3 linked regions of the Astyanax mexicanus genome follow. The protein of the gene in region 1 binds, or shares a complex with, the protein of each later gene. Links are inferred from orthologs where the notes say so. Each region holds a gene or a part of one and is shown in the gene's direction. Other genes may lie near its edges. The genes, in order: acad9, ecsit and ndufaf1.

Region 1 (10,461 bases):
ATAAAATGTGTGTCAGGTCCTGAGATCTCCATTGTTTTGGGCTAAATTACTGAGTTAATGATGAGCTGATTTATGTTTTTATTAGCTCAAAATAGATTTTCTATATCCATAAACTGAAACACAAAGATTTGTAGAGCAAATTTTCATGACTTTTTCAAAACTTTCTGGGTATTTTTATTTTTCCAAAACTTATCCAGGCCTGGAAATTATTGCTATTTTCCCAATTCCATGACTTTACCCGGTTTTTAATGATTGTACAAACCATGTAATAACGTAGAGAAAGAGTAGAGGGATGAAGATCTGAATGTACCTGTCCTCCAGCGAAGATCACAGGCGAGCCCGACGGTTTGGGTCTGTATGGAATGGTCACACCTTTTGGAGGAGACTACAGAGAAACGGTGCCCTGCATGAGTTTAGGAACAGCAAAATAAAAACAAGGCCCTGTCTCTTTAATCTGTAAACCAAAGAGCTTCTCCAGATCAGTTTTATCTTTAACTGTATCCTTAACGCTATCTGTTCTTCTAAGGAAAAAAAAAGCACAGCAGGTCGAATAATGAGTAAATCTGCAGGTTTCTCCTAAATAAGAGCTAAAAAGAAACAGAAAAGCTTTTAAAGCTCACTTGTAAAAAGGTGTCTGTTTTATCTTCACACAGTGCAGCTAATTATATAAGGTGTCAAAAAGTAAGGAAATGCTTAAATACAAATAAATTCATAAATAAAATTAATTAAAAAAAACATACAACGTATAAGAGAGCACTCAAAAATTATGAGTTTCTTTGATTTTACCAAATTTAAAACCTCTGGAATATAATCAAGAGGAAGATGGATGATCACAAACCATCAAACCACCAAACTGAACTGCTTGAATTTTTACACCAGGAGTAAAGCAGCATAAAGTTATCCAAAAGCAGTGTGTAAGACTGGTGGAGGAGAACATGATGCCAAGATGCATGAAATTAAAATTGTGATTAAAAACCAGGATTATTCCACCAAATATTGATTATTTCTGAAATTTTTTCAGGAATTTCTCATTTTCTGCAAATAAATGCTCTAAATAGATATGTAATAAAAACAATGTTCATTTTACTCAAACATAAACCTATAAATAGCAAAATCAAAGAAACTGATTCAGAAAACTAAGTTTTTAAGGAGATTTAGAGAAAAGAAAAAGAAATGCAAAACTCAAAATGGGACTATTTATTTACCTTTTCTTCAATCAAGCAATTCAAATGCACTTTCCCAAAAACAAAATATTTTAGCCTTTAAAAAAAAAAATTATAATACTAGAATAATTCAAAACCAAAACCTCCTACCTCCAGCATCACTACACAGATCTGCTTGACGCACTCAATGATGGACTGTATGGTTCCGGCGATGGTTATGGCTCGCTCTGTGGAGTTGGGCAGCATGTCTCCAGCAACCTGCACTTGTGCACCGGTTAACTTTAAGAGAAACAGAGATATCAGACATTACATCACCCTGAAATACCAGATTTACTATTCTATTTTTAATTTAGTAGTTTCAGACATTCCCTACCTCTCTGATTTCTTTAATCTTGCAGCCCCCTTTCCCAATGAGGGATCCGCACTGGCTGGCCGGCACGACGATGCGCAGGGTGACGGGGGGTTTGCTGGAGCCCGGGCTGTTAGATATGGAGCTGCTGATGTCCTGCGAGGAGAGATGATCACGGATTATTGGAAATGTTTAATAAAAACAACAGTAATTGCGCTAATAAATGAGGGATAACAGGAGGATGTACGGTTGCATTTTGCAGTTAATAAGACTCACTATTGGTGCAAAATTGGCTTAATTTCGGGTGCATATAGAACACTAATGGGTAATTACCACAATATATGAGTATCAATCAATCAATCAATCAATCGTACATTGAATGTAACTGAGGGGAAGTGAATACACAGGGAATAAATAAATAAATAAATAGAAATAGACCCCGCATTTTAATATGATTAAGATATTATAAAATAAAAAAAACAATATAAAACAAATAAAAAATAGAAAAAGAAAAACTGAGTTTAGGGGTAGGGGAACAAAAGCAAAAACAATAAAAAAACATAATAATAAAATTAAATGATAAGACAGAAATGATAAGACACATATCAATATCTACCAAGAATTTAACTTGAATTACTTGAGTAAAAAGTGTGAGTTGATACGACAACTTATACAGATTTTAGCTTTTGCTTTTAACCCTTTATGTAGTTCATAACCCTTTAATTTCTACACAAATGCAATTTGCAAAAAAAATTTAATTTACTAAAAGACTGCTTATAAAAAACAACATATCCCAATATTCAAAACTTTTGGGGAGAGATCAGTCATTCATTCTTTTTTTTGTACATAAAAACCCTAAATTATGCTTTATTTAGACTGGTATTACTAAATGTATGAAGATACTTTATAAATATATATGAAATTATAACATACATGGTTATTCACTGGAAGGACCCTAATGTTAAAACTGGAGGTCAGCTGGGGTAATAAATTACTTTATATTTAACATATAAAGCACAATTTAAGTGCCTAAATGACTCCAGGGTTAAATTGTACCTCCTCGAGTTTGTCGATGATCATGGAGAAGGCTTTAAAGATGGCAGTGGTCGGTCCTGCTAGAGTGATGATTCTCTCTGGACAGTTCCCCTCGGAGATGTTGATCCGTGCACCACTCTGCAAAAGAGCAAAATCTGTTTACTTTAAAAGTATATTAATAAATATATATTTCTTAAAAAATCCACAGCAGCATTAAAATTACCTCTTCTCTCATTTTCTTCACAGATTCACCTTTCTGTTTCAAACAGGAAACGCAAATAGATTTAGATACACATACAAAATCTGTATTTTAAATGTGGAAAATTAAGGAAAATTAACAAAAAAAAGTGCCAACCTTGCCGATTATGCTTCCAACTTCCTGTATAAACACACAAATTTAAAGGAATCACTTTAGCTTATATACATTAAATTAATTAACATACAGATTACTCCTCATAAATAAAGGTTATAGGCAAATATAAATATTAAAGCTTGTACTTTTTAGTACGCAAAATAGCTTAGTCTATAAAGTAGACTATAAATGCTGTACAATCTGCATCTTTTCTAAATAATGAATTAGGATTAAGGTTTCTAACTGATTCTTTTGCTCAAATTTATGATAAAATATACCCTTTATCTACAGATAATTTCTAAATAGCCATAACAATTATGTTTCTGTGGTTCTTGAAGAACTTAAAAGAAAAATAAAAGTAATGCTAATACTTTATGGTGGTGTCAATGTTGAAGAATTAAATCAGATTAACAGAAGCCTACCTTGCTGTGCATGAGTAGTCTGATGGTCAGCGTGACGTTGAGTCCTCCTTCAATCACACCAGAGTCCATTATGATGGCTTATATAGAGTTAATGAGTTGAATGTGATAGGAAAAGGGAGTCTTTGGTCACAAAGCTGGACCTGAAGCAAACGAATACAAAGAAAAAGGTTACAATTACATGAAGTGCTTCGGTCAAATCTACTGGACTGTTAACTGGATACCCCTCTCAAGAGTACATTACCAACTTGATTTACACATCTCTGTGTCTATGTATGTTCCTCCTCTAGCAGGTCTCCAGGGTTTATTTATTTTATTCCATTTTTTCTAGTCTTAACCTGAACTGAATAAACTGAACGTTGCACTTTTTGACAACTGAAAAAATAAATATATTTTTTAATATTATCACTATTATTAATCACAACATACAAACATGTAAAAAGCCTGTAAAGAGGCAACAAATATTACCGTAAAAAAGATTAAGAGGTCAATTTAGGTCCTTTAGAGTGAGTATTTTATTCCTATGGAGTCACATATATGAAGTATAGTAGCACAGTTGTTTTACCAACACTGAATTTGCATTTATGGATATGAAATATACCAAGCAACAAAAGTTAACTATTTACTTAGCTAGCTACATGCTGGATAATTGATCTATGTTATATATTATACTATATAACGTTATATTACTCTGATGCAATAGTGTATTCTTGGAATTATTTAGTTGTTTAGCTATTCAGTTAGCTAGCTACATGCTGGATCATTGACCTATGTTATATATTATATTATATATATTATTCTGACGTGTATTCTTGGAATTATCTTTTTTTAATTCAATGTTTAGTCATATAGTCTAAAATATCATTACGGCAAAAATACACTGAAATATCGTGATATAATTTTAGGATCATACCACCCAGCCCTATTTAATATAAGAAACTGGCTAAAGCTAGGCTAGGTAGCTAACGTTACAGCCACGCAGCTTGTTTGCTAAGCTAAGCTAACCAAACTGATAAAAAATAAACACATAACTAAACTAAAACACTAATTAAAGCAATGAAATTAGACAATTATGAGCAGTTATATCATTATAAACTTTAGTTAGAACCCCATTTTTGTAATTCTGTTCTTACTGAGGCCTGGCTGAGGGATTCAGGACCAGCTAACGCTAGCTAACAAGCTAATGCTAGGCTAAGCTAACTATATTAGCTATCCCCATAAGTACAGAACGGAGAGTTAGCTAAGCTAAATAAGCCATGCTACTTAATGCTATCCAGCGCTAGCAGGCCGCGCTGCTCCGCGCTGTTTCCCGCAGTGTCCCCCGGGTTTAGGAACCGGGCTGCGGTGATCGGAGCGCTTACCTGTCGGCGGGCCGGGGGAGGGTAGAGGGTAAAGGGGAGCGGAGGGAGCGGAGGGTAGAGGGGAAGGAGCGGGAGGAGGGTAATGGATGAAGGGGGGGATTTAGAGAGGACTCGGGGAGCAGGGAGAACCGAGAGTGCGCTGAAGCTCCAGTCCCACACAAAGACAACAAACAGCACACCCTCAACTTTCACCCTTCACCCAGACCCCGCCCCCGGACACGCCCACCGAGAGGAAGCTTTATTTTGCTTTATTTTTTACATTATTATTATTATTATTATTATTATTATTATTATTATTATTATTAGTAGTAGTAGTAGTAGTAGTACACATTTGTCTATTGTAAATTAAAGGCTGTTTACTACAGTAGTATACCTTATATACACCTATACACACTTTATATACCCTCATTTACACCTATATATACCTTATATACACTTACATACACCTTATATACACTTTATATACACCCTTTATACACTTATATACACCTTATATAGATTTATATACACATTTGTGTCTTTATTGCAATATATTATTATTATCATTATTATTATTATTATTTTGGTTCTAAAACTCTATTTATTTATTGAAAAATGTGTTAGATAGTTTTTCTTTCCTTGCATGCAATTTTTACTGTAATAAATCCCCTCTAAAATTAGCTAACTAAATTTCTGCAGGCAGGCTGTGTTCCAGTAGAGTACAGATACAGCATTTCAGTGCTTTTGTTTATAATCTATAATTTCTTAGTAATAAAATTAGTAATTGATTATGGCTTGACTCTAAAGCGAGTTAAAGTGCAGTGACGTCATCTCTGTGCGCGGGTAGCGGGTGAAGGGTGGCGGTGCTGCGGGCAGAGCGGTGGCGATCAGCGGATTATCAACATGAATTTTAGCAGATTATTATCGATTTCCAGATCATTAAAACTCTCTACATCTTTATTCCCGCCTCCAGCGAGATTAACAGCTCCTCTACAGCCCCGGCGCTCCGTCAGAACCAGCCCCAGCAGCGCAGCCTACGCTAAAGACCTGTTCCTGGGCAAAGTCAACCAGGTAAACCCACTTTATATACCTTATATACACTAATAAACACCTTATATACAACTTATATACCCTCACATACACCTTTTATACGCTAAAGACCTGTTCTTGGGCAAAGTCAACCAGGTAAACCCACTTTATATACCTTATATACACTCAGAAACACCATACATACACCTTATATAGCCTCACATACACCTTATATACGCTAAAGACCTGTTCCTGGGCAAAGTCAACCAGGTAAACCCACTATATACACCTTATATACACCTTATATACACTTATATACCCTCATATACACTTTATATACACTAAAGACCTGTTCTTGGGCAAAGTCAACCAGGTAAACCCACTATATATACCTTATATAGACTCATAAACACCATATATACACCTTATATACACTTATATACTCTCATATACACCTTATATATGCTAAAGACCTGTTCCTGGGCAAAGTCAAATAGGCAAACCCACTTTATATACCTTATTAACACCAATTAAAACATGGTATATACTTATATATCCGTATCTACGATAAAGACCTGTTCATGGGCAAAGTCAACCAGGTAAACCCACTGTATACACCTTATATACCCTCATAAACAACTTATATACACTCATATACACCTTAAATACGCTAAAAAACTGTACTTTACCTCATTATGTACACTAATTTTTACCTATATATCCTTATATTCCCTTGTATACATCTTTTTACGCTGCATATACACCTATATACACACGCGTATATACACCTTATATGCACTTATATACACTGGGAATGCTGCTGTTGCAGTGTAACTCTCAGGAACGCTGCAGTGCACTGTGTAATCTGAGTCAGGGTTTAGAATGACTGTAGAACATTTTGCCCGTGTATCAAGCGTTTCAGAGGTCAGATACTGATGCTGGGGTCGAGGTTAGTGAGGGTGTGACTGAATAAAACACACACATGTCATTTTTTTTATCTCTTTTTAAGTGAAATCGTGTAATACTGTAAGGTTTGCTCTTGTAGAAAGAGGTGTTTCCCTATCCGGAGATCAGTAATGAAGAGCTGCAGGAGATTAATCAGTTCGTGCCGCCGGTGGAGAAGTTTTTCAGTGAAGAAGGTGAGAGAAGAGATTCTTACTAGATATTTTAAGCTACGACCTTTACTGTCTGTTCCCACAGACACACACTGTGTGACATATTTTCACTGTTATGATAACTACAGTACTTTATTATATTTATTATACCGTAATGTCCTGTAATGACATTTTCCTTAGTTTCAATCCCTGTAAATAAACCCTGAGAAGTCCTGCTGTTAATACTGTATATCTTTATTAGTCGATTCAAAGAAGATCGATGAGGAAGCCTTTATCCCTCCTGAAACGATGGACGGACTGAAAGCACTCGGGTTGTTCGGGATCCAAATACCTGAGGAGTATGGTGAGTTCAGAAGACTATCAAACACATTATGATGATGGAACTGGCACTCATCAGGACCGCCACAGAAAAGAAAGAACAAGAGTTACCAGCCTCAGAAACATTTTCTCAGTCAGTTTTATGAGGTAGAGTCTCCTGGAATTCAGGCCTTCAGTTAACAGCTGTGCTGAACTCATCAAGAGTTAATTACTTGAATTTCTTATCTCTTAATGTAAAGTTTGAGAGCATCAGTTAAAGTAAAGTAGTGAAGAGGTAGAGTTACAGGTATACAGTGAATAGTGAATATTTCAGTAATGTTCTAATCCAGGTTATGAGAAGAAACAACTACTCAACTAAAAAAGAATAAAAAATATTTTAGGTTTTGAGAACCTTTCAAAAAAGTATCCCTGAGTGCAGTTTAAAAAAATGATGGAACTGGCACTCATCAGGGCCGCCCCAGGAAAGGATAGAAGAGCGAGAGTTTCCTCTGTTGTACAGGATGAGTTTATCAGAGTTTCCAGCCTCAGAAACCACACGTTAACAAACAGCTCCTCAGATAAGAGTATCTAAATACTTCACAGAGTATTTTAGTTTGTTTAACACTGTTTTTAAGTTACTACATGATTCCTAATGTGTTCCTTCATAATCTGATAGATCACTTGTATATTGTGTACTGTGTTTAAAAAGTTTTAAAAGTTTGATTTTGATCTGTACTTTAGGAGAACTAAAGTTTAGGAATATAAGTTTTTGTCTAAATGACAAAATGATGGTACGCTCATGAAAAACCTGGATAAGTGATGGAATTTGAAAATAGCAGTGATTCTCAGGCCTGGATAAGTTTTATAAAATTAAAATGACTAGAAAGTTTTGGAAAAGTCATGAAAATTTGGTCTATAAATCTAAAAATGTGCTTTAGTTTATTGAAGGAATAAATTTATTTTGAGCTACAAATACAAAACAAATCAGCTCAAAGTTAATTCAGTAATTTAGCTCTAAACAATAGAGCTCTCAGGATCTGACACACATTTTATTATTAAACGTTGTGTGACAGATTAATTTTAATTATAGTTTTAGTTGATTTTTGGTTTAAAAAATAGTATATTCATGAGAATTTGAACTTGAAGGCATGAAAAAGTCATGATAAAATCCTGTAAATGTATAGGTTAAAAGTTTATGATCCCTGATGATTCTCAGGAGGTCTCGGCCTGTCGAACACGATGTTCGCTCGGTTAGGAGAGATTATCTCTATGGATGGAGCTATTACCGTCACTCTCGCAGCACATCAGTCCATCGGATTAAAGGTGAGCTTTAGATTATTGATTTATGAAGCTTCTCTCGGACAGTTTTCTGTCCTGTGTATTTTTTATTTTATTTATTTATTTTAAGATTAATGATTAAAATACACTCATTTTTAAAGTACCGATACTAAACAATAAATTGGATATTGTACTGTTTTAAATGACAAAAATACTAATATATCTATATATGTATGTATATTAGTATATCCACTAATAGGGAGAATTATATAGAATTAAACCGTATACTGTCTCAATTAATGCACTGTTGTTGTTTTAGGGTATCCTGTTGGCTGGAACTGAGGAACAGAAAGCGAAATATTTACCCCGTCTGGCTTCAGGAGAGCATATAGCAGCTTTCTGTCTGACTGAACCCGGGAGGTGTGTTTTATTTAACATTTAACTGAACGTCTATTCTAATTCCTGTGTATTCTGCTTGAATTTTACAAAACCTGTGTCTTCTGTTTTTAGTGGAAGCGATGCTGCTTCTATTCAGTGCCGCGCCAAACTGACGGAGGATGGGAAACACTTCCTGCTCAACGGCTCAAAGGTTCTAATCATATTTATTTTTATTTTATTTCTAAGTTTTTTATCCCATTTTTTCCCCAATTTACTCGGCCAATTACCCAGTCCCCTCATTAGGACTCCCCCTAAAGCGCAGCGACTCTGTGGTTCTGATACATCAGCTCACAGACGCAGCCTTGTGCTGATCCACATCACCCTAGGAGTGATGAGGGGAAAGAGAGAGCGCCATCTACTGTACTGTACCCACCCAGAGAGAAACAGCAAGGACAACTGTGCTCTCTCGGGGCTCCAGCAGCTGATGGCAAGCTGCATGACCGGGATTCGAACCAATCATAGTGGCAGCGCTTTAGATGGCTGGACCACTTGAGCTAATTTTCTCATTCAAAATTGAATCATATTTAAGTGACACTCCCTGTACACTCTCTGCTCACTTTATTAGAAGCTTTTCTTTTATAGTTTTCTGCTGGTTTACAGTTTGATTCCAGCTATAAAAACTGTTTTAAAGCAGAATTTGTTCGCAATTCCCGAGCTTTTAGTCTTTTTACAAGTTCAGTTGACATGAAAATAAAGGTTTACTGAAATTATTATAATAATAATAATAATAATAAGAAGAAGTATCTCTGATAAGTCTCTGAGGAATGTTAATTCTTTATTTCTGTGTAATTCTCTCTTTAGATATGGATTTCTAATGGTGGAATCGCTGAAATTATGACAGTGTTCGCCAGAACAGAGGTGGTGGATAAGGACGGGCAGAAGAAAGACAAAATTACAGCTTTTATTGTAGAAAAGGCGTTTGGTGGGGTGAGCTGCGGCAAACCGGAGGATAAACTGGGCATCCGAGGATCAAACAGTGAGTTTATACATTTCACAATGCATTTATTTAGTGCACTAGAATAACTTTAATAACTTTACTAACTTTACTTGTATTTTTAAAAGGTGTAACGATACAGTCTGCTCACGATTCATTTCGATTCTGGATTCACAATTAAATTTACTCCCAATATTTGAAATACATTTTGAATAACAAGAAATTCATTTTTATTTATTTTAATCATATAAACAAAAAAAAATGCTTGTGTGCTTTATTTTTATTTTTTATATTTAGCTTACGCCCACTGGTTCTTTGTCCTGCACTGGAAGGATTGTGACATCTGCTGTTTAAACAATGCAACTGTGTAATATTTCATAAATGTTGCAACAAACCTCAAGTTTTTCAATTGCGATGCATCGATATAGACATATGTATATGTACACAGTTTTTTATTTGTTTTTTTTTTTTGTAGTTTTTAAACCTTGTTTTTCTATCAGTTTTATGTAGTGGAGCAGGCGAGGAATTCCATTCTTTTATGTATCTGGTTTTGGTTTTTTTGGTATTTTTGGTATTTTTGGTTTAGTATCTTGTTGTATTAGTTTCTCTTCTCCATTATTTATAACACATTTTGCTTGATAAAATTCTGAGCCATTTTGATTTTAAATATATATATATATATTTGTATCTGTGTTTATCTCCAGCCTGTGAG
Region 2 (11,460 bases), on another chromosome or scaffold:
TTACTTTTACCGGTTTCTCGGTTTGGCCCGGTACGATTTGCGCTGTTGTGCGAGGGCCCTACGTCCCCCTGTGACAGGGGGACAACTCGTTATTATTATTATTATTATTATTATTTTTATTTTTAAACTTCGCGCCCATTTTTGAGGCCTTTCTGATACTCGAAAACTCTTGAATTTTGGCACAGACATCAAAGCCGGTGAAAAATTTGAAATTTCACAGTTCCTGGGCTTGGGAGTTGATCAGGAGCTCTATAGCGCCCCCAAACGTTGCCAGTGGCCGGGATAAAGTTTGTCCAATGTGCACCAACTTTGGTACGCTCATTGACCTCATTATACCGATCAAGAATCACTTGGATTTATTTGACTCTGCCTAACAGGAAGTCGGCCATTTTGGCAGGAAGTCGCAAAATAAAAAGTTTCCCGTGGTGTTTTGGGTGGGTTACGATGTTCGAAAACTCATAAAATTTCACAGGCATATTGGGCATAGGCTGTACTTTGATGTAAAATTGGAATTTTTCATATTCATAATTTATCAGCTCTCTAGCGCCACCTATTTTATATGACATTTATAGAAAGCTCTTAGCCTCTTCTAAATAAGCAGACCCAATAATGCCTTTAAATGATTTTGAGAAATGTAATCGTTTTTCTGATGTGGAGCTAAATGACTCTACAGCGCCCCCTATTTGGTTTAGGCTAATAAATTAGCGGTAGCTGTCTCAAATTTTCCCCAATGTTCAAGATTTTTGGTAGAAACATAGATATTACGATGCCACACATAATACCCATTGGCATGTATTAGCTCCGCCCAACAGGAAGTCGGCCATTATGAAAAATGTTAAATTTTTACACATTTTTCACGAACTCATTCGAACTCCTCCTAGAGTCTTTGTCAGATTACAACTAAATGGTCTGTGGATAGTCTCCAGACATACGTGGTGCTAAATTGCGAAGGAATAGTCGATAGCTGAAACGATGACGTAATGGCGGGCAGTTGATTTAATACAGACACAACACTAAACCACATAGAAACATTAGCATGGTCAGAATACAGCTGCTTGGAAATTCATGAAACTTGGCAAAAACATAAAAGACATCATTACACACGTTTTCAGTGTTGATATGATTGACTCCGCCCAACAGGAAGTCGGCCATTTTGAAAAACGTGCATTTTACACACATTTTTTGCATACTTTGTCGAACTCCTCCTAGGGAATTTGTTGAATACTCTTGATATTTGTCAGCAATAAACTACTACCATCCGTGATGATAAATTGCGAAGGAATAGTCGATATCTTAAACGAGGACGAAATGGCGGACAGTTGAATTGCTTGAGATACCCCATTAAAATAGGAAGTAAATACATTCTGGTGTTAGTAGGTGTTTGAGGAGGTTAAACAGGTTGAACACTCACGAAACTTTACAGGCCTGCTTGATTTAAGCGGTCCTTTGATTAAAAATTTAAATTTCATATATACATATTTCATTGGCTCTATAGCGCCACCTAGGTTTCAATGCATATTTGACATTACGGAAATGCTCAAAAACTCTTGAAAACTGTCAGATTCCATAAGATCTAAAAACACTTTACAAATATTGTGATAATTTTTTCATGTGTAGCTAGCGGACTCCACAGCGCCCCCTAATTTGTTCGTTTAATAAATTAGCTGTGGATGTGTCAAAATTTGTCTAATCTTCTCAAATTTTGGTAGGATCGTAGATAGTATGACCCTGCACATATTTGCAATTGGCTTGTATTAGCTCCGCCCAACAGGAAGTCGGCCATATTGGAATTTGTAATATTTTTACACATTTTTCACAAACTAATTTAAACTGCTCCTAAAGTCTTTGTCAGATTACCTCTTATTTCGCTGTAAATGAACAACAGACATATTTGATGATAATTGCCAAAGGATTAGTTGATCGGTAAAACGGTGACCCAATGGCGAGCAATTGAGTCACTAGAGACGCAACACTAAACCAAAGTGAAACCATGACACGGTCAGAAAACAGATTATTGAAAATTCATGAAACTTGGCAAAAACACAAAAGACATCATTACACACATTTTCAGCATTGGTAGGACTGACTCCGCCCAACAGGAAGTCGGCCATTTTGAAATATCTGCATTTTACACACATTTTTTGTGTACATTGTCAAACTACTCCTAGCAAATTTGATGAATTCTCTTGATATTTGGTATAAATAAACATTGAACATATCTGATGATAAATTGTGAAGGAATAGTCGATATTTCAAACGAGGACGAAATGGCAGATGGTTGAATTTTTGAGATCCCACATCAAAACAGGAGGTGAAAACCTAGGTAATGCCAGGTGTTTTGAGGAGGTTATAACGGAGAAAAACTCACAAAATTTGACCGGCCTGCTTATCTAAGGCTGTTGTTTGATGTAGAATTAGAATTTCAAATACATGTATTTTAACAGCGCCATAGCGCCACCTGTATTTTAAATGGATATTTCACATATTTAACAGGATAGAAAACTCTTGAAAATTGGCACACTCAATAAGACATTAAAATTGCTTTTACCGGTTTCTCGGTTTGGCCCGGTACGATTTGCGCTGTTGTGCGAGGGCCCTACGTCCCCCTGTGACAGGGGGACAACTCGTTTAGTTTATTTCTGTCTGCATCCAGTAACATGCATGTGTGGTTACTTCAGTGTTTTCGTAACAGTTCCTTGTCCATATGACAACACTGGAGTTTAAAAAAAACTCAACATTAAAGCAAAATATGACATAACATGAGGACAAAATAAAGACAAAAACATTTTAGAAGTTCTGTAAATGTGTCTGGGGTCTAAATGACATCTTTCTGCAAATATACATCCATAAAAAATATTTTGCACTCCTATAAAACAATAGCCACTTGTGACCGAACTGTGAAGTCCAAACCATTCATACCAAACTGTGATGTCCAAACCGAGGTGCAAACAAAACCGTGGCACCCGTATTCACGATACGATACTAGTTCTACCTACCACACTAGTTTCCCTGTCGCCCACCGTTTACAAACTGAAACATGCAAATATTTACTATTTTCTGAGTTTAGAGTTTCATATAAAGTATAATGCAGCATCAGACAGGACAGGACCAGTACCACAAACAGTAATCACATTAATTCAGCTGATTTCTAAAAGTTCTACAGACCCAGCACACAGCAGACAGAACTGGAAACACACACACAGAGCAGTGAGTTACCAGATACTTTCACAACCGAGATATCTGCTCAACAAGCCACGACAATGACAGCTAGAGACTCTGAGCCGCAGTGCTTCCTTTTCGTGGTGAAACGGAGACATTTACAGCGAAAAAACAGAGAAGTCACAAAATTAGATAAGCATCACTTCATGACAACCCTCCTGGCTAAAAAGTTTTGGTTCTTAAAACATTTCTAAAATTCTTGGAATAATTGTTCTGTCAAGTTTTCTAAATGTTCTTAAAACATTTCTTGTGTCAGTTTTCATTTTTAGTTTTGGGAATGTAACTTAACTATAACTTTTATGATTGGTATGCATTATCATGTCACACGTTTTCAGAATGTCCAGGAACATTGTTTCTGTAACGTTACAGGCTCAACCATCCTAGGACCTTTTCATCACTGTGATTTTACAGAGCTATAGCTCCAGTTCTCTCTTACAGAGTGTTAGACAAAGGCTGAAGTGGGATCGTTTTCTTAATGTTACAGTTAATCTTCTTGGAACGTTCATTCCGGAATGTTTTTGTTTAACACTTTTAAACATTTTGGTAATGTCGCTGCAATGACACTTTTTGTTTTAGCAATACTAATACATGTTTCCATAATCTTGGTATCCATCCAGCTGGGAACGTCATGTGGAAAAGGTTCTCATAAGGTAATGATGCAAACTATTATTATGCCACACGTTTTCAGAACGTTTCTGTAACATTAGACCCTTTTCAAAAAGTTGCTAAACGAATTCAAAAAAGAAACCACTTCTTAAACAGTAACTACGATCCTTTATTGCGGCAAACGTTTTCAGAAGGTTTCTTAAACATTAGACACTTTAAAAATGTTACTAAACGTTTTTAGAACGTTCTCTGTTTGAATTCAAACGTGAAATCACTGAAGCGCTACTAAAGCGTAACTGTCATTTCAAATTCTCAGCAGGAGAACAACTAAACACTGGTTTAGATTTATTTCAGCTCTGTGATATTACACAGCTACAGCTCTAGAGTGTTACAGTTAACGTTTTTGAAACGTTCGTTCTGTCAGGTTTTTTGGATGTCGCTTTTAAACGTTATGGTTAAGTCGCTGCAACGTCGCTTTCAGTTTTGGGGACGTTAACTATGTAAAAAACGTTCCATAAGGTTGGTATCCATCCAGCTGGGGACGTCATGTGGGAAACGTTCTAATAACGATGTGGTGCAAATTATTATGTCAGACGTTTTTGGAATGTTTCTGGAACATTAGAACCTTTTTTTCTAAACGTTTTTAAACGTTCTGTGAATGTTCTCTGTTTGAATTCAAACGTGAAATCACTAAAGCGCTACTAAAGCGTAACTGTCATTTCAAACTCTCAGCAGGAGAACAACTAAACACTGGTTTAGATTTATTTCAGCTCTGTGATATTACACAGCTCCAGCTCCAGCGGCTGCAGTGTGTGTGGTGAGTGTGTGTGGTGTGTGTGAAGCGGAGTGACAGCGGCTCTGAGAGACAGACTGAGAGCAGGGTGCTCAGCTGAAGAGCGGCTACAGAGTGAGGGAGGGAGTTACTCACCGAGGCTGTTTGTTGATCCATCCATGTCGGAGTCGCGCGCTGCCGCCGCCGCCGCCGCTGCTGTTCACACCTCTCGGAAGTAGCAGCTCATGCTGGGAGAAGTGCAGTCCATTCCTGCCCAATATAAAAATCAGTACGGCGTTTAAGATCCGCGGTCCTCAAGTCTTAAAACACACTCACACACAGTGTGGACAGGAGCGCACGTGCGTGTGCGTGAAGTGAAGAAATGCAAGACCACTCCAAACTCCCCAACCCAGGAAATGAGCTGCGCAGCTGCGGAGGCGAGCAAGTGCGCGATGAGGAGAGAGAGAGAGAGTATGAGTGTGTCTATGACTGTGCGGATGGATTTTTTAATCCATGCAAGAGATATAAAAGCTGTAATCCAGTTAACTATGTTCACGCAAACTATTCCCCCCTCTCATTACTGAGACTCAGAACTCACTTATCTAAACTCCCGCTGAAGCGAGGCGCCACAGCTCCAGTTCAGCCCAGGAAAATAACCAAAAAAAAGAAAAGCAGAAAAGTTTTGACTGTAAAACTGCCAGTTCACTGCGTCCCCTGCCGACGATGCTGCAAACAACAGCCAGGACAAGAGGAGACATGAGGTCGCAACAGCCCTGCAACAGCCTAGAGGGCGCCAGAGAGAAAAACACTAAACCAATACCAATATTACAATGTTCTTTTGTCTGTTTTTGGTATCAATATTATTAAAAAAAAAAACGAATTAGGTTTTGTTTCTATTCATGTGTTGTTTTGTGTTTCCTGAAAAAAAAATTGAAAATAAGTTGATTAGGTGATTATTTTAGGATGGTCTCCGTGATTTCCTGGTGCGGAACTAAAGCGGCGGAACTATAAGCAGAAGGTGAATGTTTCCTGTGAGTGTGTGAGGACAGAGGACGGACCGGTGTTCAGTCGAGTTGTGCTACCTTGTCAAACCGTGCTACCCTAGTAGTATGTTTAACTTTAAAAATGCAAAAGAAGCACCTTATTAGAGCATGTTCTCAGCGGAAGTCTATGTAAATCTGTGGAGAGTATAAATCACTGTATTATTGTACAGTTTGTATAGTTGTGACAGTGAGAGGTCATTAGAAACTACTTTTGTATTAAAAAAAAAATAATTATTGTATTTATTATTATTAATTTCCATTTGTACTTTTTATGCAGTGGCAAGGAGTCGTTGTTGTTTAATGCACAAAAAACAGAATTTTTTTTTATTATTTATTTATTACACGAGAAATAATTAATAACTGTAGGTTAGCGCATGCGCAGTGCGTTTAGGAAGCACGTATCGATGGATAGCACAACTCGACGGAACACCTAGCCGAAGTATAGCTGGGTTATGGCGGCGTGTTGTGAAGGAGATGTGACCGCTGGAGATTTAGAGCTACAGCTCCATTAAACCGCCTTTAAACCGAGTCCAGACTCAGACTGCACCACGGGACACTATCTACCAGCCTGACCACGGTAAATAATCACACACACACACACACACACTGTATTAATACACCATGTTAACCCGGGTTAACCTACCGGCTCCGGCACAGGGTCAGTTACGGACCTGCCCGTATTAAATAACTACATTAACTTCAGATAACTTCAACTCTGAAAAAAATAAGAGACCACTTCAGAGGTTTTCAATTTGGTAAAATCAAAGGAGCTGTTTATCTAACGTTACCCAGTTATACCAGTTAACTGCATGTGCAATGTCAGTGCTTTGGTTTAAACTGTAACCACATTATTCTAGCTATGAGTGGATTAGAGCAGCTGTAAATTATATCATCATTTTTAGCTGTATATTAGTTATAATTGCCTAATTCTATAAGAGTTAGGTTGCTAATGTTAAATGTAATATTTTATACGTGTTATGTAATACTACATAATTCCTTATGCATTAGTTAGCTAGTTAGCTGTATCACTATTGTTATAGCTGTTCATTTTCTATAACTACAGTACTCTGTGTAACTATTTATGTTAGATAAGATTAATCAAGATTAATCCGTTTACAAGCCATGTTTATGTAAACTCACATTTGTATATTAAATGATTTTAGAAACCTAACTAGCTACTGTAAGGATTTCTTTCTTTGTTTTTATAGGTACATTTCATTATCGTGAATTGGGATAGAAAATAGAAATATTATACTGCCTTGTTTTCAGATTTGTTTCATTTTTACTGTATGCGATATTGATGATTGATTATTGATTATTAATATTTGTTAAGTGAAGTAAACTTAAGTGAAGTAAGTCCTATTCTATTCAATTATCTTTGCAGAAATAATGAAATCTCACCATGAAGATCACTAGATTTCTCATGCGAACCCAGCATGCTGGGTGGATCACTCTTTTCGTCAAGACACCTATCAAGCCCAGCTGTTTTCATGCGGCTCTCCTGCGGCCCCCAATCCCACGTATCTGCATTGGTCAAGTAAGTATTTACTTGACTGTTTGTGTTGACAGTTTAAAAGTACGACATGAACTAGCAGATTAGCAGGATTTTTACACAGATGCTACACTTTTTGTCCAAATATTTGTGGACACTCCTTCTAATGAATGCATTCAGCTGCCTTAAATTGCACCCAATAGAACAGGACTCTCTGGATCAGATACACAAATACACTGTTTGCACCATGCCTAATCAAGGTGTGGGCTAGACTGCTAACCAGCTAACTCACCAGGCATTGAGCTGTGGATCAGCAGGATTGTGTTCTCTGGAATTATTGTGCCTTTTTCCGTACTGTTTGGATGAGTTAGGGAAATGGAGATGAGGAGGCAGGGTGGTGATCTTCCAACGTTCTACCTTTACTAACTTTTTTTTTTGGTCACAGAATTCAATCATATTTTCACAGCAGTGCTCTAAAATGTCTTGTGTGCTTTCCTGGATGTTGGAGATTGTTACCTCAACTGGGACTAGATAAACTAGATTTAAGAAAATGAAAGAGCTGGTGTCTATATATGTTTGTTTGAATATGTATTTCTACATGTGCTGTTTTTTCTTTTGTTTTAAGGAGGCAAGATGGATTCATTGTGGTTCCACAGTTTACAAGGACAAGCCGGACAATTCAGATCTGAGCAAGTTATTTGAAAATGAAACGAAGGCCAAGTCTTTGGTCACACATGATGACTTGTTTGAGAGAACAGCTAAAGATGCAAAGAATAAAGCCAGTTTCAACAGAGTGGTTGATGTCTTCAACAAGCAGGACATCAGGCGCCGTGGACATGTCGAGTTTATTTATGCTGCTCTACAGAAAATGCCAGAGTTCGGCGTAGAGCGGGACCTTGCTGTCTACAATAAACTGCTGGATGTGTTTCCCAAAGAGGTTTTTGTGCCTCGAAACTTTATTCAGAGGATGTTCAATCACTATCCCAGGCAGCAGGAGTGTGCAGTGCAGGTGCTGGAGCAGATGGAAAATTATGGTGGGTTGTGTTTACCTTTTCTTTGGCCCAAAACTTACTTAATACTTATTAATCACATCTCATGGAATTTGCTAGGCTGGGGGTATCAGTTAAAAAAAAAAGAATAGGCCAGAATGCAAACCAGCACATAATCTTTGTTACAAAAAAAAAAAAAAGAAACATATTGAAATATCTACTTCTATAGTCTCCTGAATGGGTAATATGTCTTTAAGTTTTAGAATACTAAAGCTTCACATTTAAACATAATTGTCTTCACTGTCTTTGGATAGATAACATGATCGCTGCAACACTGCTGCAAAGATGCTGCTGTGTCTGTTAGCATTGTGACTTTAATCTAGATGAGCTTGACTCTTAGTATAGGGGCTAACCTGCTATGCTAAGAATCACCTGCAAACATGATACACACGGCTTATTTTATCTAACCAGCCCACTCTGTCTCAACACCTATCAGCAAGAAATCCAATTTAGGCAAAATACACTCTTTAAATCCAAGTATAAATTCCATAGCAGTCACCCAGGGGCATGTCTTAGTTAGTGGGTAGGGATTGACAATAATAAAAATTGGGGACAAAATCGAGATGAAAATGATGCATACATAAATTAAATGATTTAAGTGGAAAAAAAAAAAAAATTAAATGTCATAAGTAAGATGCTATACCACAAGACCACAGACTAAGGAACAATGGGCCATACATACATGAAAACAGCTTTATTATTAGGGCTGGATATCCAAATGTAATTGCAAAAAAGGTACCGACCAAAATGTTTTGGTATTATCGAGTACTGAAAGGGCCAAAAAAAAATGTCGCACACAAACTTGCTCACTCGTGCTGTCTCTCTGTCTGTCCTATTGTCTTTCCGTCTCTCGCTCACTCGCGCTGTCTTTTGCTCACTTACTCTGTATCTCGTTCTCTTGTTCTGTCTCATGCACATTCGCTCTGTCTCTCGCTCACCCGCTCTGCCTCATAGTCTCTTGCTCGCTCATTCAGTCTCTCGCTCAAGAGCCTTTTCTGGTGTCAGTATGAGTGAGATTTCTCATGTCTGCTGTTAATTTAATACATTGTTTAAAATTAATCATATTGATTTTTGTATTTTTTAGGTACAATTTAGAAAAAGGTATCAAAACATAGAATTTGGGCATCAAATTCAAAGTATCCTTATCAGTATCGGTATCGCTATCAAATTTTAAGACTATACCCAGCCCTATTTATAAGCCTTTGGAATTCTACTTGAGTCATGGAGCTATTATTTGTATCCTATTAAGATAGGAATTACAATGGTACGACGAGTATAACGATGTTGTTATTCGTATGCTGTGGCTTCAGTCACCAGTTGTCCACACATTTTAACACCTATGGAAAATTGTGGACCAGATGTGTTAGACTAGACAGCACTCTTCGCCACCATCAAAACACCAACTGAACAAATATAATTCAGAGGAATAGTGTTCAGAATCTACTGAAGTAATTGCTTAGATAAAAATTCTGTTAGTCCTAAGAATTGCTGTGTGAATGGGTGGAGCTAACTGTGGTAGGCTGAATGGTTTGGACATGCAAATGAGTTTCAGAGCTCAAAGAAATTCAGTTTTTTCACAACATTGTTTCCATGATATATATCGCATATAAATCCTTTTGCTTTAACACCATCAGGTTTGATGATAATAAAATGCTCACATGGCTCAAAGCTAAATGAAAAATAGTGTTTACAGTATTTGTGTAAACTAAACATGAAACATGTTTTTTCAGAAAAAAGTAAACCATAAATTGCATATCTTGCTGTTTTTCTGTGTTGATTTATATGTGCTTATCTTTAACCTGTCAGGAATCGTGCCTAATGTGGAAACAAAGGTCCTTTTGGTTCAGATCTTTGGAGAAAAGGGCCACCCTGTGAGGAAATATCAGCGTCTAATGTACTGGCTTCCCAAATTCAAGCATATAAACCCGTTTCCAGTTCCATTTGAGCTCACGCAAGACCCCATCGACCTTGCACGCTTCAGTCTCACCCGCATTGCTAATGACCTGGATGCTAAAATTACAGTTTACCAGGTATCGTATCTCTTCGATGTGTGATATGTACATAGTAAATTGATTATTATCCTTTGTTGAGTTAGGATGTAGTGCTATTCAGATATTTATTAATTTACTATTACTGTGTGTCTATTTTAAGTATCCATCAACAGACGTCACAGAAACAGGAGAGGAAGTCACCCAGCCACATATCGTAGGTAAGCGCTTTTTTATTTCTCTGTATTCTTAAACAGATAAAACATCATTTTTACTGAAGTTTCTTTAGACAGAAGAGTGAGGTTTTTACACACACCTTTAAAATAAAGTTGCTAGAAATCTTTTATATGATGCCATAGAAACACCAGTTTTGGTTCAATGACAAACCTTGTTTGTAATATGTAGTGAGAGAGAGGGTAACATTCTTTTAAATGTTAAAAAAGGTTCTTCACTAGTGGGAGGGGCGTTATGGCCCTAAAATAATTACAGTATTCTTAAGGATATGACAAATTATTGAGTAAAAATATGATATAGCACACTGGTTCCATCTATTACAGCAAGATGTCCAGGCCCTGAAGCAGAAAAGCACCCCCGGACCATTACACTACCACCACCATGTTTCACATTCAGTATAATATAATATGCCTTTTCTGAAATTGTGTTAGTTTAGCGCTAGTTTGTTGTTTGTTGTTAGTTTGGATAGTTTGTTTCCCTTAATAATATAATCATATAATTGAAAAAGTGCTTTTTATATTAACTCCGGTTATATTTGTCTAATATTAAAGTTTGACAAGTCTGAAAGTAGTAAATATGACAAAAATGCAAAAACAGGTGAAATATATAAGGTCCAAAGATTTTTTTTATTTTATTTTACAGTTAAAATAGAAATGTATATTTGATCTATCCACAGAGACTCCCATTTTTTTAAAGTATTCCATAGAGGTTTAAAAAACTTTCAGATATTATTGTGTATGATGCTCACCTATTCTTCCCAATTTCTCAGTTTGTATGACTAGATTCTTTATTTTTAAGAATGTGGGACTACCATTAAACCTTTTAATAATACTTAAATTGTAAATGAACAGTATAAAAAAATCTACACACCCCTGTTAAATTAGATTAGAAGTTAGATTTTTTTGCACATTTAATGTGACCTATGAACTGTACATCTTGTTGAAAAACAAATGAAATATTTAGGGGGAAGAAGTAAAAAAAAAATGATAAAAAACAAAAAATTGTGGTTGCATAACTGTGCACAGTTGCCACTGCTGCCTTTGGATTTGGCTGTAAC
Region 3 (11,069 bases), on another chromosome or scaffold:
TTATTTAACAACACAACAAATATACATACAAGGTCAGAAAAAACGTTTATTATCTATATATATATGTATATTTAAGAAGTTTGGATAGATTTTTGTTGCTAATCTGAATGTAGTGTGTTTCTCACTTACCCTCCTCTGGTGCTGAACTCTCCATTGAGCTGTCTCCATCTGAGCTGCCTGACGAAGCTGCCTTGTTGAGCCTCTTTTTTGTGGCATTCTTCTTTTCTGCTCCTTTACCGGGCTTCACCTTCTTTTTAGCTTTAGTGCCTCCAACAGTCCACTAATATACAACACAAAGACCACTGAAACATTAGAGCTGCACAATGAATTGCATTTAAATCGCAACTACAGTTGTTACATTTCTCAATGATTTAAACCCAATAAACGGCACATACTATTAGTAATTTCAATTAAATGGAAGCATTTTTTAGAATAGGCAGAAAATAATGATCTACAAAGATCTATAATATGACCACAAACAAATAAACTAACAAAGCAAAGGTCCTTTTGATTTAATTTGTAGCTCACTTAAATTAAAATAAAGTAAATTACAAGTACAAAAATTAAGTAAAATAAACCAAGAACAAACATGATTGATGCTACTTTACCTCATCTCCACTGTCAGAGGTTTCAGAGTCTGAAGATGCTGCTGGTTTACTGACAGGTTCCTCCTGTTCTTCTGAGTCTACCCTCTTTCTTTTAGCCAGGGACAAAAGCTCCTAGAAGACAACAGTACAGAAGACAATTTCTTGCACTGCTTTTTACTTTTTGGAAATCACAAGCTTAAATATGTCATAATTCAAAATAAAGTAATTTAGTTTAACATATTTATTTTTATACCTCTGTGATGAATGGACTTAATATTATTTATTCTATAAACTACTGACAACATTTCTTGCAACTTTCAAATAAAATTGTCATCTGGGGAATTTACTTGCAAAAAATTAGATACACTGCTCAAAAAAATAAAGGGAACACTCAAATAACACAATATAACTCCAAGTAAATCAAACTTCTGTGAAATTAAACTGTCCACTTAGGAAGCAACACTGATTGACAATCAATTTCACCTGCTGTTGTGCAAATGGAATAGACAACAGGTGGAAATTATTGGCAATTAGCAAGACACACTCAATAAAGGAGTGGTTCTGCAGGTGGGGACCACAGACCACTTCTCAGAACCTATGCTGTCTGGCTGATGTTTTGGTCAGTTTTGAATGTTGGTGGTGCTTTCACACTCGTGGTAGCATGAGACGGACTCTACAACCCACACAAGTGGCTCAGGTAGTGCAGCTCATCCAGGATGGCACATCAATGCGAGCTGTGGCAAGAAGGTTTGCTGTGTCTGTCAGCGTAGTGTCCAGAGGCTGGAGGCGCTACCAGGGGACAGGCCAGTACACCAGGAGACGTGGAGGAGGCCGTAGGAGGGCAACAACCCAGCAGCAGGACCGCTACCTCCGCCTTTGTGCAAGAAGGAACAGGAGGAGCACTGCCAGAGCCCTGCAAAATGACCTCCAGCAGGCCACAAATGTGCATGTGTCTGCACAAACGGTTAGAAACCGACTCCATGAGGATGGTATGAGGGCCCGACGTCCACAGATGGGGGTTGTGCTCACAGCCCAACACCGTGCAGGACGCTTGGCATTTGCCAGAGAACACCAGGATTGGCAAATTCGCCACTGGCGCCTTGTGCTCTTCACAGATGAAAGCAGGTTCACACTGAGCACATGACAGACGTGACAGAGTCTGGAGACGCCGTGGAGAGCGGTCTGCTGCCTGCAACATCCTTCAGCATGACCGGTTTGGCAGTGGGTCAGTAATGGTGTGGGGTGGCATTTCTTTGGAGGGCCGCACAGCCCTCCATGTGCTCACCAGAGGTAGCCTGACTGCCATTAGGTACCGAGATGAGATCCTCAGACCCCTTGTGAGACCATATGCTGGTGTGGTTGGCCCTGGGTTCCTCCTAATGCAGGACAATGCTAGACCTCATGTGGCTAGAGTGTGTCAGCAGTTCCTGCAAGATGAAGGCATTGAAGCTATGGACTGGCCCGCCCGTTCCCCAGACCTGAATCCAATTGAGCACATCTGGGACATCATGTCTCGCTCCATCCACCAACGTCACGTTGCACCACAGACTGTCCAGGAGTTGGCGGATGCTTTAGTCCAGGTCTGGGAGGAGATCCCTCAGGAGACCATCCGCCACCTCATCAGGAGCATGCCCAGGCGTTGTAGGGAGGTCATACAGGCACGTGGAGGCCACACACAATACTGAGCCTCATTTTGACTTGTTTTAAGGACATTACATTAAAGTTGGATCAGCCTGTAGTGTGTTTTTTCACTTTAATTTTGTGTGTGGCTCCAAATCCAGGCCTCCATTGGTTAATAAATTTGATTTCCATTAATGATTTTTGTGTGATTTTGTTGTCAGCACATTCAACTTTGTACAGAACAAAGTATTCAATGAGAATATTTCATTCATTCAGATCTAGGATGTGTTATTTGAGTGTTCCCTTTATTTTTTTGAGCAGTGTATGTATATATATATATATATATATATATATATATATATATATATATATATATATATATATATATATATATATATAATCAGTGTAAATAACTGCTGGAGAGCACACCAAGATGCATCATCCAGCATCAGTGCCTGACCACACTAATGCTCTCCTGTGGCTGACCAAAATCAAACCCCTAAAGCAATCTAGTGTCGATTCTCACCAGAAGAAGTGTTGACACTGTTTCCGCAGGAATCAGCGCAAACACTCAATTATTGCAACTTAAGTTAAGTTAAGGTTATGTTGTAGATCTAAACCACTGTTATATATATATATGTATGTAGGCGATGAAAGTGATAGTGATGATCACAGCACAGGGGTCAATCCACTCCTGGTTTATTAGAAAGACTTTGGCTAATCCACTGGTACTTATGGCAGTGATTGCGGCTCTGCTCCATCTCAACTGCCAGGATAAAATTAGCTCACAACAACACAACACAAAGCTAGAAGCCGGTTTTGAGTGAGTGAGTATGCTTAAATGATGACCTGCGATTTTCATGAGAACTGACCTCATTTCATATCATTTAGTGTTGGGTTTGATTATTACCTATTGTTATTATTATTCAACTAGAGAAAGTAAATGGGTTACACACACACACTACACATCACTGAAATTAGAAAAACACAACTGTATCAGTTTCGAAAAGCTTTTTGGTTACAGAGGGAGAATTTTTGACTATTTAAACCATCAACTCAGGGTTTAAATAGGGGCAGAATGCTCATATCAGAACTGAATGAGGTCTGAAAGAGACTGTTGAGCAACCGGTTACAACTTATCCACTAACTATTATCTAGTAAATCCACATACACACACATATACCTAACTTTCCTGTGTGTTTTGTTATTCGCCTTAGAAAAATCACATGCAATAATCCATGATAAAATTAGTTTACAACAAAACAACAACAACAACAACAACAAAAAAGCTCAAAGCCAGGGAGCAAAGGCTTTCTCGTTAAAAAGATTTTTTAGAGTGAGTGTGTATGCTTAAATGATAAACCTGAGATTTTCACACACAAGCAGATTTGACCTCATTTACTCCCAGAGACTGCTGGGGTTGATTATAACCTGCAATTCTTTGATTACAGACTTAAATGTGTGTTACACACTGCAGACATCACTGAAATAAGCATAAAACGCAAATGTTTATCAGTTCGAAAAGCTTTCTGGTTAAAGAGGGAGCACTTTTACTATTGAAAATGATCAACTCAGATTGAAAACATAGGCAGAATGCTCATACTGGAACTAAATGCAGTCTGAGGGACACTGTTGGAAAACTTATTAAAACTTATCCACTAATTCTATTATCTAGTAAATCCACAAACAAACACATATATATCGAGACAACTTGCCTGTATGTTATTCGCCTTGGAAAAATTACATGCAAAAAGCAAACACCGCACATGGATAGAATGGACCTAACATTAACTTAGCCTAACGCTAGCTACTCTAGCCAAATAAAGACTTAGAGAAGATGAGGGGTTTATTTATAGCCTATAATATACAGTAACTTTAACTATGAATAGATTAAATGTGTGTTAAAAACTCTGTAAGTAATATTAAACAGTATTCGACCGGATAGCTTCCCACGTTGGTGTTTACAGCCTCTGAACTACATCACTACGCTACTCAACACCTCCAGCGTTAGCTGCTACACGCTAACTCGCTAGCCAGCCCTTTCAGCCCAGTGTAAAACCGCGTCTTTCCTCTAACTGAGAATAAAAACAGGAGATATTACAGTAAAGCGGGTCTGTAAACAGACGGTAAAGCTGTTCTGGTGTAACCCTTCCGCAGGCCCAGGTTTTAGCTCCCCGCTAACGGCGCTAGCGCAGCTCCAGCTAGCTGGGTTAGCCAGGTTAGCCGCTAGCTCGGTTCTCTCTTGCTCCGGGCAGAACCCGGGCTGGATATGGACCTACGGTTCTTACCTGGTCGAGATTGTCGTCGCTGGCACTGTCCTCCGAGTCGGAGTCGATGACCACCCGACCTTTCCGCTTCTTCACGTTCACCATGGTTTAGCCCGTGAAGCTCCCGCTGCTCCGTTTGTTTGTCTGACACGAACGAGCCGCTTCTCCGCGAGACCTCCGAACACACGGTGGCGTGCACGCATTAGAACGTCGGTGACGTAGTTGCGGTCAAAAAAAAAAAAAAGATTCTGTGTAATAATTAAATAACACACATTTTACCTTATTATTTCCAATATTATTGGGATTTTCCATGTTTTTTTTTTCATAAAAATCTTCTTGTTCAGTCATACAAGATTACTAATTTTACACATTAATCTGCACCCAACCTGTATGTTTTATGATATCTTTATTTATTTGCAAAACAACAAAACAACAGAGAATATAAAGCCCAATAATTCTTTTAATTCTTTTTTGGTAATTCATCAGAAATGTGTCTGTATTATTATTATTATTATTATTATTATTATTATTATTATTATTATTATTATTATTATTATTATTATTATTATTATTATTATTGTATAAATGAATCAAGCAGTTAGTGTAATTCACACAGACATTGCAAATGGAAATAATAATGAAATAAATTGAATAACATAAAATAAGGAATAGATAAACAAATGACTAAACCAATAAATAGTTCCTTTGATCACAATGCCTTTTTATTCAATGTGTTGTTTTTCTTTTTATTATTTTTACAAGGCATTATTAAAGCTATACAGGAACACCTGCTGAACTATTCTGTAAATAAAAAGTGTTAAACAAACCAGAATATGTCAGGTTCAGATCAGGGGATTGTGAAGGACAAACATTTTTTTTTACTACCTAATATCATTTAATACGTGTCCCTTAATTGTTTTCACGTCTTTAATATGAATCTACAATTTAGAAAACGTTGAATGCAAAGAGGTGTGTGCAGACTTTTGACTGGTACTGTAGGTCTTATTCACTGTGTAATGTTTGGTAAATGTGTTAATGTTTGTTCTTAAACCTAAATATTATTTAATAGGAAACAGCGATTCCTGTTTGTTAAACAGAAGACGTATATTATCACTATTCAATGAAAAACATGTATATCTAAAAAAGCTACTTAACAGATAGAAAAGATAGAAAGAGAAAACTGATTTAACTTTCAATGAAAGTCAATGTAAAATTGGTTTATTTCAGGTAATTTTGGAGAATTTCTATTGGTCCATTCATCAAGAAATTTTGACACAGTGTAAGGGACCGTGTCTGTGTTCAAATCATGTAGTAAACTTAACATTTATAAAAGTGGTGATACTTGTTTTTCGTTGGACAGTGGCGATATGTGTTAGTTTATATTTAAGATTTTTTTAATTTTTATTTTATAAACTCCGCAACTTGCGCAACTTCGGAACGCGAGCAGCGTCAGCGTGTTTCCGTACGGGCTGTTTATGAGGGAGAGCGCAATGGCAGCCTAGAGGAGAGAGCACAGGGTGTAGAACTAATGCAGCGTTTATTTAATTTAACCTATTTATTTCATCCTATGCGTGTTTAATAGTACTGTGGATTAATACGAACTTTATGTATAATCTTTTAAACCGGCCGCTGGTGGATTTTGTGATTGTGTGTCTATCGTGTCTGTGAGTGTCAGTGTTGACCCGCATCACCTACATTTAACAAGCTGGGCTCCACATATTTTGCGTAAGTGCCTTCTTAAGTATGTGTGTAAAGTCCTTAGTTATACACTAGAGTTGTATTGAATATTTTTGCATAACGATAGGCCTACATTCATTACATTCAATGTACGTTGTCAAAAAACAAAGATCAAAACAAAAAAGATAATGTAGTCCGGGGATAGAGAGATACAGGAAATAGAAACAAAAAAAGATACCAAAAGTGTATATATAAGGAAGCCATGTCATCTACTGTTGGCATGCAGCACAGGCAGTGGCTTTTTTATTTTTCATATCAATAGCAGTGTTCAAATGTATTGAAGCTAAATGAAGGAATATATCTTGATATAATTTTTCCCCCTTATTAGAAACATACTTTTTTTTTTTTTCATTTTTTCCAAAGAACTATTTTGTTCTTTCTCCTAGAAGGTGTTTGAAAGATTATGACTGTGGTTTGCTCATCAGGTAAACTTTGGCAGTCATGGCTGTGTCCAGGGTGACACTCCAGACTCCAGCAGGAGTGTGTGGCCTGTTCAGGAGACAGCTTCTCCAGCCCAGCCTCTCACATCCAACCATCCTGAGCACCAGGAGTATCTATGGAGAATACAAGAGACCAGGCCAGCCTCCAGACAAACGGTGGCCCTGGGAGAAGATCCGCTTTGACTTCTCTAAAGGAGTTGAGGGTATACAAAAGCACTTTGGTCTGCTGAAGGATGAGTTTGTGGGCAGATTGAGGGGGCCTGAGGGTCGGCCCTTATTGGACCATATGCTGGAGCAGACACTGGTGCAATGGGAGTTCCGGGGGCCAGAGTCTCTGGATCAGTGGGTGGTGTCCTCAGACAAAGAAATAGGGGGCCAGAGTGAAGCATACCTGAAGCTGGGGAAAAATAACACTACCTGCATGCTGTACGGGACCCTGTGCTCGGTTCCACCTCGAGACGGGGAGACACGTTACAGTGGGTACTGCACACTGCGCTCCAAACAGACCCTGGTTAGTGATGGGATGCATTGTTTTGTATGAGTGGTGGGATGTTGGGTGATGTAACAAAAAATAAAGTATGTTGTCATATTAGATATATCAAGATACATCATTGCATTTTGATGACTGCCTGTATGTAGCACAATATCAATGTTATTTAATAATACATTTACAATATCTAAAAGATTGATTAAATATTGATTTTGTATTTGTGTTCTTATTCCCCTACAGCTCTCATTTGACAGGAAGAGGCATTTTGATTGGTCCACATTCAACACCCTATACATTCGTTTCCGTGGAGATGGGAGACCTTGGATGATTAACATTTCAGCAGAGATGTATTTCTCCCACAACAAAAATGACATTTACAGTTACTTCCTGTACACCCGAGGGGGTCCGTACTGGCAGGAAGTCAAGGTTTGTACAGCAAAAGTGAAAACAGAAGATGCTCACACTCACCAGCCACTTCATTAAAACATCTTGCTTTAAAAAAAAAAAAAACAACTTTATCTACACAGAGCAGATAATGTTTGAATAAGCTTGCAAGCCCTGTTTGGGGTGTTAGTACCTTATAAAGAGAGACATCCAAACTATTAAATAATAAAACACATGTTTAATTCCAAATTACACATTATTCCGTAAGTAGTGTAATATACAAGTCACAAAATGGCAGATTCTAGATGTAAACAGAGCATGGAATATTTCTTAAAGAAAATTATGTACAATTATATCATAATCTAAGATCTAGTGTCTAATATAGTTCACTATAGGGAGTACTGAGCTATGAGCAGAGGTGTCAACTACAAATACCTTACCTTACTTAAATAGAAATGTTGGTTATATATACTTTACTGGAGTAATGACTAGCAGATATTTTATTTCTTTAGCTTCGTGACTCTCATTTCATTTAAATATATAAAAAAAATCCTATTCAGATAAATCTCTCCATCCAAATAGTGTAAATCAGATTGTGAATGGATGTAGAGAAGTATAAACATATACCATTCTGACACCCTATTGGTTTATACGATCCATCACACCTGCACATCACATCATGCCCACAGTCAAGCGAGAACATAGCAGACGTACGTATTCTAGTAAGAGGATGATCTGTGCAGAGACTTAAGAGAAATTGAGACAAACGTCCAACTAAGCTTCTTTAATATATTTACATTGTATTAAAATACATTCCATATAAATCAAAAATTCAATTTTCAATGGGCATATATGCAGCTGTAACAGGACTAGTGCCTACATTATTATTTTGGTCCCCATTCCCAAACATACAGATGGGTGCCAGCATTTAAACAAATATTTATCATGATTTTTAATCCAGGATTTAGTCACATAATATTGTGATTATTTTTTCCCCCCCCCAGGGATTGGCACCAATAATACCAGGTGTTTCCAACACCTTTCGTTCACATTAAAAATACCCATGATCAAAAAACTTATCAAAATATAGTGATGGAGAAAAAATTTCCTTCTCAGGTTAAGCAGGCATCTATAGGAAATTTAATACTGTTTTTGTGCTCTTTTGTTTTATCAGATTCCATTTTCAAAGTTTTTTCTCTCAAGTCGAGGAAGAATACAAGATGACCAGCACTGTCTCTGGTTGGACAAGGTTTGTTGGACTAATTCCTCAGCTAAAAGCCACAGTAGAAAAGAATACCATTTTGAAAATATTGCTAATTTAAGAATGTAAATAGTCATTATTGCTGTAAATTAACACCTATCTGTTGTGTATTGTTTTGGGCATATTTTCAGGTGAACAATATTGGCTTCACACTGGGAGACAAAGCTGATGGCCCATTTCAGTTGGAGATTGACTTCATTGCTCTGTGTATTGACCGTGCTCACACTGAGGAGTTTGCATATGAAAAGTTTAAAAGGAACCCCGAGGTCCCCTAGGTGGCTGCAGGTGGACTCTCTACAAAATAAACACCTTAATTTATTCATTCATAAGGACTGTTCAACTGAAACGTAATGTAATACACGTTTACTCTATTAAAAAGCAGACAATGTACAAAACAAATCATTTAATAGCAAATAAAAAGCAGATTTTACACCGGACCATACTTTTTTTTTTCCCCTCCCACCCCTTGACATTTATCACCATCTTCATTTACCACAACTTGCATATTTACATAAAAGAAAAGATGTAGAACTTTTTAAGAAAATGGCTGGATATCTAAAAAAACTAGCTCTTAAACAAAGACAAAGGACAAACAATGTTAAAAATGTATCCAGAGTGAAAGCAGAAAAACAAAAAACTGAAGCCTTAAGTCATAACAAGACCACGCCTGGCATCAAGCAGCGTTTCCTTCTTTTGCCTCCTGCCCTGTGTGTGCTTAATGCGCCGTTCCTCCCTGCATAAGAAAAGGAGAAAATTCAGTTGATAAACAAACTGTTGGCTGGAATTCTTACACAAATATCTCAATGAGAATTAAAACACCAGAAAGTGTTGTGCAGATGTGCAATATATGGAAACTAAATTTCATCCATTACCACTAGTGGCAGCAGCAGCCTGCTCATAAGTCTTTGCTGAATGTTTTAACACACTTGCACTGACTTACTCACCTTGTCGGCACCTGGTGCTGTTTATAATTTTTCTGGTGGGATGGAATTGTCTGGGACTTGTTTAAGGCTGCGTTTTCTTTAGTTTCAACAAAAGGCTTCAGCTTTCCTGTGGGAATACAAAAAAAGTCTAGAGTAAACCCTTGTAATGGTGATGAGATCTAGGGCGTATAGAATCTTGAGAACCTCTAGTTATACAGTATTAAGATTTATTGTAAATATGGAGTCTTTGCAGATGCAGATATGCTGAAATAAGACCTTTTCTGAACCAGATTACTCGCCGGTAGACAGGTCAATGACAACATGCTGTTTGTTATGTGCATCATATGTACAGTTTACGCTGATCCTGAGTTATGAACATTGTATAATACTGGAATAGGTAAATTATCATAATCAAAACTGAATGAGTATCAACAGTATTAGTAACATAATATTGTCATCATCTTTGCACCTAAAGAACACGTTTTCTTAGTTGTGTTATATAGTATGGCAAATCATGCACATGTCTGAGAACACTCACCTGTGTGAGGCTTGTAGGTGAGGGGTCGAGAGAGGCTGGCTTTCAGATCAAATGCGTTTTTCTTGTTAGTTGATGGAGTGGGTGTTGTTCCACTGAAGACAAAGGGAGTCACTCCTGATGGTAAACAAAGAGGGAAAATATTTATTTACATTTTTCTTTACTAATATAAAATGTGCAATAATATCCTGGGTAATACACAGTCAGCTCTATTACTCCACCTCTTTTACTGAAAGCAAACATTCTAAATAAAAACCCTTGAACTCATGCTCAAGTCTCTCTATTTTGTTGCTAAATAAATTAAACAGAGAAACTGTCCAGTACACACTTAACATTTCTTGACGAATGGACCAATGCAAATTGGGAGGTTAATCAAATTAATTTGATTATTTAAGTTACTGTTTTAATGGGATTTTCAAAATGTGACAACCAAGGTTGTACATCTTTACATATCGAAGCTGTCAGAGTGAATCTCAGTAGATAGCTTTGTGCTTCCATCAGAAACCTGTAAAGAATTTGTTTACATGGCAGTACTTTCATAGTTCACTCCTTTATATACCTGTATGTTAAAGAAAGTAATAATGTATGTTTTTTTTTACAGTATGGCCCAGCACTACATGAAAATTCTCTTTTTAAATGGACTTCCATTAAATGTTGAGAAGGTTTTCTAAATCTCCTGTAAAATTTTGAGATGCATGTTTTTCTATTGGACAGCAATGATATTTAGGTCTTCATAAAGGCTCACCGTTTATCTCCATTGTTCTTACCTGGAGTTTTGTTCACTGCGGCAGCGTTCTTGTTAATCTCTGGTTTGGTGCGAACATC

What was found.
Region 2: the proteins of acad9 (region 1) and ecsit are in contact, whole or in part, in a cryo-EM structure (PDB 8PHE), measured with the Homo sapiens proteins. The link is inferred for Astyanax mexicanus from reciprocal best matches to the Homo sapiens genes ACAD9 and ECSIT. Residues at the interface, in NP_054768.2 of Homo sapiens: Leu180, Thr181, Asp188, Ala189, Ala190, Ser191, Ile192, Lys228, Lys239, Asp240, Lys241, Ile242, Phe293, Ala296, Met297, Leu300, Ile431, Met434, Tyr435, Leu438, Thr439, Leu441, Gln442, Gly445, Thr449, Leu516, Gly520, Lys521, Ile523, Met524; in NP_057665.2 of Homo sapiens: Pro321, Glu322, Glu323, Trp324, Asn325, Leu326, Tyr327, Tyr328, Pro329, Met330, Leu332, Asp333, Leu334.
Region 3: acad9 (region 1) and ndufaf1 share a complex: the UniProt entries of both Homo sapiens proteins name them as parts of the mitochondrial complex. The link is inferred for Astyanax mexicanus from reciprocal best matches to the Homo sapiens genes ACAD9 and NDUFAF1.

Annotation. Positions count from the first base shown.
Region 1 is NC_064431.1:33,844,056-33,854,516, forward strand, and holds the start of acad9 (complex I assembly factor ACAD9, mitochondrial), read left to right. Parts: upstream 1-5,477; 5' UTR 5,478-5,561; coding exon 5,562-5,729; intron 5,730-6,263; exon of another isoform or gene 6,264-6,268; coding exon of another isoform or gene 6,269-6,286; intron 6,287-6,732; coding exon 6,733-6,826; intron 6,827-7,043; coding exon 7,044-7,145; intron 7,146-8,315; coding exon 8,316-8,422; intron 8,423-8,696; coding exon 8,697-8,797; intron 8,798-8,887; coding exon 8,888-8,966; intron 8,967-9,616; coding exon 9,617-9,791; intron 9,792-10,453; coding exon 10,454-10,461. Other genes in the region: poly(rC)-binding protein 2, read right to left, coding at 311-385, 1,314-1,442, 1,537-1,668, 2,569-2,685, 2,771-2,803, 2,903-2,926, 3,322-3,390. UniProt on the Homo sapiens protein: As part of the MCIA complex, primarily participates in the assembly of the mitochondrial complex I and therefore plays a role in oxidative phosphorylation.
Region 2 is NC_064415.1:31,113,162-31,124,621, reverse strand, and holds the start of ecsit (evolutionarily conserved signaling intermediate in Toll pathway, mitochondrial), read left to right. Parts: upstream 1-6,040; 5' UTR 6,041-6,217; intron 6,218-7,024; 5' UTR 7,025-7,042; coding exon 7,043-7,177; intron 7,178-7,757; coding exon 7,758-8,166; intron 8,167-9,987; coding exon 9,988-10,211; intron 10,212-10,332; coding exon 10,333-10,390; intron 10,391-11,460. Other genes in the region: eml3 (echinoderm microtubule-associated protein-like 3), read right to left, coding at 4,754-4,778.
Region 3 is NC_064414.1:7,798,982-7,810,050, reverse strand, and holds ndufaf1 (complex I intermediate-associated protein 30, mitochondrial), read left to right. Parts: upstream 1-5,935; 5' UTR 5,936-6,199; intron 6,200-6,636; 5' UTR 6,637-6,652; coding exon 6,653-7,162; intron 7,163-7,381; coding exon 7,382-7,567; intron 7,568-8,699; coding exon 8,700-8,774; intron 8,775-8,917; coding exon 8,918-9,061; 3' UTR 9,062-9,216; downstream 9,217-11,069. Other genes in the region: RNA polymerase-associated protein RTF1 homolog, read right to left, coding at 130-280, 609-719, 4,496-4,579; nusap1 (nucleolar and spindle-associated protein 1), read right to left, coding at 9,432-9,519, 9,731-9,836, 10,248-10,361, 11,012-11,069. UniProt on the Homo sapiens protein: As part of the MCIA complex, involved in the assembly of the mitochondrial complex I.